Macaca fascicularis: one gene and its partner. Each later gene encodes a partner of the first gene's protein in a complex. Links are inferred from orthologs where the notes say so. Each region holds a gene or a part of one and is shown on either strand. Other genes may lie near its edges. The genes, in order: TCN2 and CD320.

Region 1 (4,292 bases):
TCCCCGTTTACTGCCTCCCAGTTGCTGCTGGGCTCCAGCTGCCTGATGGTGGCCTCCACTGTGCCATATCCCAGGGGACTAAGAAAAGGAGCTGTTGCAAGATGCCTCATCTGCCTCCTGGGCCTCCTGGTGCGAGGACCAGAGCTCCTAGAACACAGCTCCATCTCTGTGGGTTTGGGTCCCACAACCTCGTGTCTGTTTTCCCGACAGCTCCAGATATCTGTTGCTATAAGGTAGCCATCCACTAGCATGAAACCCTACATAATCCTTTGCTGTGTGGGCCCAGACCAGAGCACATGGCTGGTTTCTCACCAGATGTTAATGAAGAGAGACTGGGGGGTTGCTTTTTTCCCTTTCTCTCACTCAGAACCAATTTTGATGTCTATCTCCATTTCTCTGTCTCTCTCCCTCAATGTCTCTGAGGCTCTCTGGGTCTGTCTCAGTCTCCCCCAGCCTGTGTCCCTCTGGTCATCTGTGCCTCCTCACCTCTCTTTCCTTCTCCCTTTTCTTGAAACTCGCAAGGGAGTTCCCTGACCTCACCCTGGGCTCTCACCTCCAGCACGATTAGTCAGCACAGGGTTAGAAACTGAAAGACCAGGATCCAGCTGTAAAGGGAGAGACTGACAACCACAGAGCAGCCTCCTTAGAAGGAAGGGGACAGGCAGATTCACCTAGGGTAATAAAAGCAGCCCTGGGTGAGCTCTTGCCCTACCAGGCCAGCCAGGCCAGCTAAGGGCTGATTGCTGTTGACATTCACAAGCACAGGAGCCAGACAGAGTGGCTCATGCCTATAATACCAGCACTTTGGGAGGCCAAGGTGGGAGGATCGCTTGACCCTAGGAGTTTGAAACCAACCCCATGCAATATAGTGAGACCTCATCTCTATAAGAAAATTTTTTAAAAAAGAAGAAGAAGGAGAAAAGGAAGCACAGGAGCCCACTTTGCATTAGCGTTTGTGCAGTGATCCCTGTCAATTTCACAATACACACACAGAACTTTAAACTGGAAGAGCAGGTGTCATGGGATCCTCCCTTGTACTACACCAAGGAGGAAGGCAGGGGAGCATTCTTAGCCCATTTTACAGGTAAAGGAATGAGGCTGGGCGCAATCAAGTGACTCAGCACAGATATTTGCACCCCAAATCCCAGTTCAAGGTTCCCCAGACCCCAAGGGATGGGGGTTCCTGTGGGGTCAGGCTAATGGACTAAGTGTCCAAGGCTGAGGACCAGGCCAGCCAGGTCTGCAGGAGGGAAAGTTCTGGCTGGTTGAACCCAGAACTCCCCTGGGAAACTGTCCAGACATGAACCAAGAGCTGGGGTTCCTGGGCCCAGACCTGAGGAGTCTGATTTATTTATGGAACACAGATGAGAGGCTTGGAGTTCTGGCTGGGCACAGTGGCTCACGCCTGTAATCCCAGCAATTTGGGAGGCCAAAGCAAGAGTATCACTTGAGCCCAGGAGTTCGAGACCAGCCTGGGCAACATGGCGAAACCCTGTCTCTACAAAAAATACAAAAATTAGCCGAGCATGGTGGTATGCACATGTAGTCCCCAGTTACTTGGGAGGCTGAGGTGGGGGGATCACTTGAACCCGCGAGGCAGAGGTTGCAGTGAGCCAAGATCGTGCCACTGCACTCCAGCCTGGGCAACAGAGTGAGAACCTGTCTCAACAAAAAACAAAACAAAAAAAGAAAAGTTCTAAAAAACTAAGTTCAGCAAAGCTCTGGTAAAGGTGGAGCACCCTGAGCGAGTCACTCAGCCCCTCCAACCCTCGACTTCTTTACTTGACACCTGGATATGACTGCACCCACCTCTCAGGGTTTCCCCAGAGTTACAAGAGCCCACGGTGGTGAAAGTGTATTGCTGAGCATAATCCTAGGTGCAGAGGAGGGGAAAAGAGGCGTGGGCGGCCCAGAGTCCCGAAGCCTGCCTTCTGCCTCCTGTCTGAAGGAGCAGCCCTGAGCCTCTGAGCTCAGACTCACAGACAGGTCCCAGGAGACAGTGTGCTCCAAGAGACCCCTTGGGGCACAGAGCTGGAGCAGGCAGGACCTCTGAAGACTCACTTCCTGCTGCCTAGAATGTGTGTCCCCCACTCCTTTCCTGCCAGCTCCTTTTCTTCCTTCGAGTCTCAGCTCCCATGTTCCCTCTCGGTCCTCAGAAAGTCTTCCCCATGCCCAGCTATTTTTAAATTTTTTTTATTTTTTGTAGAGATGGGGTCTCCCTATGTTGCCCAGGCTGATCTCGAACTGTTGAACTCAAGCGATCCTCCCGCCTCAGCCTTCCAAAATGCTGGGATTTCAGGTGGGAGCACCTAACCATTGATTTCTTTTGTCTGTCCCCCTTCCCCAGAACACAAGCTCTAGGATGGCAGGAATTAGACTTGTCTCACGCCTTGCACATTCCCCAAAGGCTAACACTGGGCCTGACACAGAAAAGGCTCAGTAACTATGTGCTGAACGAATGTGTGAACTAAAGACTGAATTAACGGAGGAGATCTTGTCTGGTGAGGAGTCAGACATATAATCAGTCGCAATACGATGTGTTAAATGCTGAGGTCCAGCTAAGTCCAAACTGCTATGGGAGCCCAGAGGGGCAGGTAAGTTCCCCCATCCTATGCCCCAGTCACCCTCCTAAGGACCCAGAAGGAACAAGGCACAGGACAGAGGCGAGTTACTCACCACAGATCTCAGCGAGGGCCCCCAGGACCCCCAGAAGGAAGAGGAAGGCCCCAAGGTGCCTCATGGCAGCAGCAGGTGGGTGAGCAGTGATCCGGAATCGGGAGAGACTCCTGGGGCTGGCCCTGCTGAGGCTCTCCTGACCACAGCCGGTCACCGCTCCGAGACAGGCAGCTTCCTGTCACTGATTAATCCTCCAGGCCTGCAATGCGCTGCTAAGTCAGCAGAGAGAGAGGGTGGAAAGGTCTGTGGTGGCAGGGAACAGAAGGCCAAAGAACAGAGGAAGGAAGGGCAGAGCAGCCCTCCTGGAGGCAGGGAACAAAGGGAGGAGGAGGGTGAGTGGGACCATGTGAGCCATCTTGAGGCCATCCACGTTCCTGCTTAAAGAGCCCGGGACTAGCACAGAGGGCCTGACGTCTGATCTGCCAAGTCTGTCCGACCGTGCCTGTCTGCTGTCCCCTTAGCTGTTCCAGTGGTGGATCGGCAGGACCGGGTGCCTACCTAGTACTCCTTACAGAAGGAGCCCCTGGTAGTGCCCACCTAGCCCAGGACAAGGAGCAGAACGGGAGCTGCAGCTGCAGTGGTCACGTGAGCAGCACTGCTGGAGTCAGTTGTTTTTCAGCACCACCCCCCTTGGTGGTGGAGGAGGGGATTGCAGGGGTGGGGGAGTTGGGCAGTTTGGGGGAGGGAGGGGTGCCGCTGGCCCCAGACCAGCCAGGCCACTTTTCTCAACCAATCTGAAAGAGCTGGGAGCCTCCTGGAGAGAACAAAACAAAACAAGTTAAAGAATAGGATTAAGGCTGGGCACAGTGGCTCACGCCTGTAATCCTAGCACTTTGAGAGGCTGAGGCAGGCAGATCACTTGAGCCCAGGAGTTTGAGATTAGCCCGGGCAACATGGGGAAACACTGTCTCTACAAAAAAAAAAAAAAAAATTAACAGGGCGTGGTGGCGGATGCCTGTAATCCCAGCTACTTGGGGGGCTGAGGCAGAAGAATTGCTTGAACCCAGGAGGTGGTGGCTGCAGTGAGCTAAGATCATACCACTGCACTCCAGCTTGGGTGACAAAGTGAGACCCTGTGTCAAAAATAAAATAAAATAAAGAATGGGCCGGGCGCGGTGGCTCACGCCTGTAATCCCAGCACTTTGGGAGGCCGAGGCGGGCGGATCACAAGGTCAGGAGATCGAGACCACGGTGAAACCCCATCTCTACTAAAAATACAAAAAATTAGCCGGGCGCGGTTGTGGGCGCCTGTAGTCCCAGCTACTCGGGAGGCTGAGGCAGGAGAATGGCGTGAACCCGGGAGGCGGAGCTTGCAGTGAGCCGAGATCGCGCCACTGCACTCCAGCCTGGGCGACAGAGCGAGACTCTGTCTCAAAAAAAAAAAAAAAAAAAAAAAAAAAAGAATGAGATTGAATCAATTGAGACACAAAACTACCAGAAGCAGGGGTACTTGCCAGAACTAGGAAAGTAACGTCAAAAAAAATCCCTGCAGACAGGAAAGAGAACAAAAGATTCCTCATCTGCCCAGTCCCATAGGAGCATCAATGTATATGAGTTAACTAGTGGTGGCTGTGTGACCTTGGCCAGGTCACTTAACCTCTCTGAGTTTAAAATAG
Region 2 (4,302 bases), on another chromosome or scaffold:
TGGGAGGCCGAAGCAGGTGGATCACTTGAGGTCACTGAGACCAGCCTGGCCTACATGGTGAAACCCCATCTCTATTAAAAATACAAAAATTAGCTGGGCGTGGTGGTGCGTGCACTGTAATGCCAGCTACTCGGGAGGCTGAAGCATGAGAACTGCTTAAACCTGGGAGATACAGGTTGCAACGAGCCGAAATCATACCGCTGCACTCCAGCCTGGGCCACAGAGCAAGACTCCATCGCCACAAAAAAAAAAAAAAAGAGCTGGTGGTGGAGTTGGGGTTCGAACTCAGGTCTCACTGATCCCAGAGTTTTCACCAGGCTCCTTACAGCGAGATGATCTACCCAGGAGACCTCTAAACTCAGTGGTTAAAGAGACTGGGGGACAGACCATTTTTCCACATGCCCTGGGTCAAGCTCACGGGCTCAGGTTAGCAGGGAGGGTGTATCTCCTCTAGGTAGCAAAAGGGAAACTGAGGCACTGGGTAGAAAACCTGCTCAGTCACCAAGTCCTGTTGCCTCGCCTCCTGAATTCCTCCCAGACCTATCACTTTCCCCATCCTAAATGTGTCAGCTCCTCACCAGAGCCCCAGGCCCCAAGGTCCATTAGGACACCAGAGAGCTGCCCTTCCTGCTCTCCTCTCTACACCCTGTGTTTTCCCCTCAATTTTCAGATCTCAGCTGATTTCCTGGGACGGTTCTCAAGTCCCTCTCAGAGACCTAGGAAGCACTGCCTCCCACGTCTGACAACTGTCCTCAAAGCCCTGGTCATGCCTGTCCACCCACAGACTGGACAGTCTGTGGAGGTCAGGGCTGTGACCTGGCTGCCTAAACCCAGGGCAGTGCCTGATCATAAGTGGACACAGGTCACATAAGGGTTCAAGCTGGGTCCAGAGAAGATCCAGGCTGTCCTAGATTCTGAGCAGGGAAGCTTAGCTGTTTGCCGACCTGGAGAGGCACAGAGGGGCCTGGAACCTGGGTCAAGGAACAGAGGAAGGGAGTGGCCTTCAAGGCTTCCTCCTGGGTGCGGCCAGGAGAGGTGGCAATTCTGCCACCTGGCTTGGCTTCACTCTGCCAGGGCGTTTAACCTCTTCCACCTTTACCCACCAGCCATGAGCCTCCAACCCCCCACTGCCCACAGTCAGCCCCTCCCCGGCCATCAGGCCCAATTGCACCTGCTTGCCACACGGTCCCTGAGCTCTGTGGAGCCCAGAAGAGCTGTGGACAAACCAGAGCCAGCTTCCTTCCCTGCCCCCAAGGGGTCTGGCAGCCTCCAGGTGTGGCTCTCCACCCAGGCCCAGACTTCCACAGCCCTGACACCTCTGACCTCCCTTCACTGGCCTGCTGGAGTGTGTGTCCCTCTGCAAAGTGGACAGCAGAGCACAGCAGTCCCCGCCTCATAGGGTGGTAAGCCTGACAGGAGTTAGAGTGACCAGTGACTTTCCCTCCTGGCCTCAGTTTTCTCACATGTAAAAGGGGTATGCTGGGAATCCCTACCTCAACATCCTGAGGACAAAGAGACTGTGTATAGAGTTTTGTCCTGTAATCCCAGCACTTTGGGAGGCTGAGGCAGGCGGAACACTTGAGGTCAGGAGTTCGAGACCAGCCTGGCCAACATGGTGAAACCCCATCTCTACTAAAAATACAAAAATTAGCCGGGCATGGTGGTGGTGCCTGTAGTCCCAGCTACTCGGGAGGCTGAGGCAGGAGAATGGCATGAACCCGGCGGGCGGAGCTTGCAGTGAGTGGAGATTGCACCACACTCCAGCCTGGGCAACAGAGCGAGACTCCGTCTCAAAACAAAAAAAACAACAAAAAAACTTTTGTACTTGGTTAACGTGAACCCTGCCTCCTTTAAAAAAAAAAAAACAAAAAACCAGGAACATTTAGCGTGAATGTCAGGGACTTTGGGATGAGTCCAGGGACCTAGAAAGTGCAGAATGCACAAAGGAGCTGGGAAAGTGTGTGAGCTTGAGCCCAGAGCTGCAAGTTGGGAGTGCCTGTGTGCACAGGGAAGCGACTTCAACCCTCCCAGCTGCCTCTAGGAGTATCAGAGAGGGAGCCCGTCCCTACTGGCCACCACCAATACCACTTAGGCCAGGGCGAACATGCCCACGGGGGTATACTGAACTTGTGACCCCAGTCTCTGCGAGGGCCTGGAGTAGCATGGGGGGAGAGACCTCGCGTTCTCCAATGATGGAGGACAAAGGAGAGACGGTCGCGGAACGGTCACAAGGCCTGGGCGCGAGGGTTTGCAAGGCAAAGGTGCGAGAGGCACCACGTGACCCGCCCTGCGTGATTAGCGGTCGGACAATCTGAACCTGCTAAGAGCTTTCCTGACCACGCTGGCATGAAGGGCGGCTTGGAGGTGACAATGGGGCACGACAGAGCAGAGCAGGTGTGGAGAGGGTGCACAGTGCCGGGGCAAAACCGTTAAAGGCAGGTGGAGGCACCCTCTCCCCCTCCCCCAGCATGGGGTCTCCCTAGCTCCAGCCCGCGCCTTCCCGCAAGCGATTAAGTCCAAGTCCACGTGCTGGGGGAGTGTCATGGACGGACGTGCGGTGCAACCAATGGCGAGGCGCTGTCGGAGCGCGGGGGCGGCGCGAATCCTCACGAAAGGTGGGAGCCTGCTCTGCCGGGGGTCACTCACCTGAGGCCTGGGCAGAGGTCCGGGTGGAAAGCGGGGTGGCGGCGACCTCCAGGCCTAGTCCGAGGCCGAGCAGCAGCCGCAGCGCCAAGCCTAGAGCCCCTGTTCGCTGCGCTCCACCCCGCGCCATCCAACCGCTGGTCGAGCTGTCCCCACAGCTGCGCCGGCCACGCGCCGTCCGGACCTCGCTCTTATCCCTGCGCACGCGCACGCGCGGGGCGGAGGCGGGGCCCAAGCCCCCGAGTCCCGCTGCGCCCGCGGCTACGAGTACCGTAAATGTCAGAATAGGAGGAAAAAGAGAATTACAGGCCCGTCCCCCACTTTCCCCAGTGACGAGATCAGTCGAAAGGTATGGAGGCCGCTTGAAGTCAGAAACTTCTGGGGATGGAAAGGAATTTGCTGGTGTTCATTTGGATTATTTCCCGTTCCATGTGAGGACTGCTGCAAACGTTACTGCCTCGTGATCCTCTTTAATATGGCAGCCACGCCCCTCAGGCACTCCCCATTTCCTCCCACATCTCACTGCTTTTGTGGCGCCGACAGTTAATTTATTTTATTTACTTATTCTGGTTTATTGCCCGAGTCCCCATAGAATGCCAGCTACTGGAAGGCAGGGATCTTCTATTGCTCACTGCTTTATTCTCAGGGCCTGACACATAGTGCCTCACTCACAGTAGGCTCTTAGTAATTTGGTGAGTAAATGAATAAATGAAACGTCCATTCTCGGAGTCGGGTTGCTTGGGGGAAAAAAAGGAAAGGAAATTAATTAATTTAATTAAATAATAAAGGCCGGGAGCGATGGGTCACGCGTGTAATCCCAGCACTTTGGGAAGCAGAGGTGGGCATATCTCTTGAGCCCAGGAGTTGGAGATCAGCCTGGGCAACACAGCAAGTCCCCGCCCGCCTCAAGAAAAAAGAAAATTAGCTGGACATGGTGGCTGTAACTTGTAGTCCCAGCTATTCAGGAGGCAGTGAGCTGAGACCACATCATTGAACTCCAGCCTTGGTGACACAGACTTCATCTCAAAAAAAAAAAAAAGTCGTGTTCATAAAACTTGGTTCAGACGCCGTTAGTGGCATGCCTTGCCTAGGGTCTTGCCCTCCTTGTGGCCTCTGCACACCCTGCCTGGTCTTACTCTCCCTCCTGACCTTTCTGAATGTGATTCATCCTTTTGCCCCAAGCAGAATGCCTCCTCCTTGGGCTGTTAGCCTTTGTAGGACCCACTCTGGGACACTTGTACCTGCTGCCTGCAGCCGTGGCCTTTCCCCTTCCAGAGGGCAGGGCCGGCTCAGCACCCTCTCGATCCACAGCTGATCTTTTCTAGCTGCTGAAGGGGCGGGGCTGTGCCCTGGGGAAGCCATGACGCTCCCCTGCTTAGGGTCACTGGGTGGCTCCTGCGGCCAGACTTGGCCACCCTCCCTTTGCAGATTTCTGTCTCCTCCCCAGGAACCAGCTGCCTTTCTCTTCTGGGGCGAACTCATTCTCATCCCACAGTCCCAGCGTAATGGTTTCTGGCTCAGGGAGGCCTTTCCTGATCTGCCCTAGGTTTGCTGTGAGCAGCCCTCACTGTCCTTTGCCTTCCCCGTTGAGCTGCAGGGTGACCAAGGTCAAGCAGCAGCCTCAGTGGAAGGTGCTGAGGAAGGTTCATGTAAGAAGCG

Evidence for each region.
Region 2: the proteins of TCN2 (region 1) and CD320 are in contact, whole or in part, in a crystal structure (PDB 7QBF), measured with the Homo sapiens proteins. The link is inferred for Macaca fascicularis from reciprocal best matches to the Homo sapiens genes TCN2 and CD320. Residues at the interface, in NP_000346.2 of Homo sapiens: Asp70, Leu71, His74, Lys77, Leu78, Gln81, Gln82, Glu91, Asp92, Arg120, Gly121, His122, Lys123, Asp125, Arg126, Val128, Ser129, Lys132, Trp133, Glu136, Arg140, Lys169, Arg170, His172; in NP_057663.1 of Homo sapiens: Thr57, Lys58, Leu66, Cys67, Val68, Pro69, Trp72, Asp75, Arg76, Asp77, Leu78, Asp79, Leu133, Glu136, Cys145, Ile146, Pro147, Thr149, Trp150, Asp153, Gly154, His155, Pro156, Asp157, Cys158, Pro159.

Annotation. Positions count from the first base shown.
Region 1 is NC_088384.1:21,050,310-21,054,601, forward strand, and holds the start of TCN2 (transcobalamin-2), read right to left. Parts: upstream 2,952-4,292; 5' UTR 2,741-2,951; coding exon 2,677-2,740; intron 1-2,676. UniProt on the Homo sapiens protein: Primary vitamin B12-binding and transport protein. Delivers cobalamin to cells.
Region 2 is NC_088393.1:8,999,783-9,004,084, forward strand, and holds the start of CD320 (CD320 antigen), read right to left. Parts: upstream 2,809-4,302; 5' UTR 2,774-2,808; coding exon 2,647-2,773; intron 1-2,646. UniProt on the Homo sapiens protein: Receptor for transcobalamin saturated with cobalamin (TCbl). Plays an important role in cobalamin uptake. Plasma membrane protein that is expressed on follicular dendritic cells (FDC) and mediates interaction with germinal center B cells.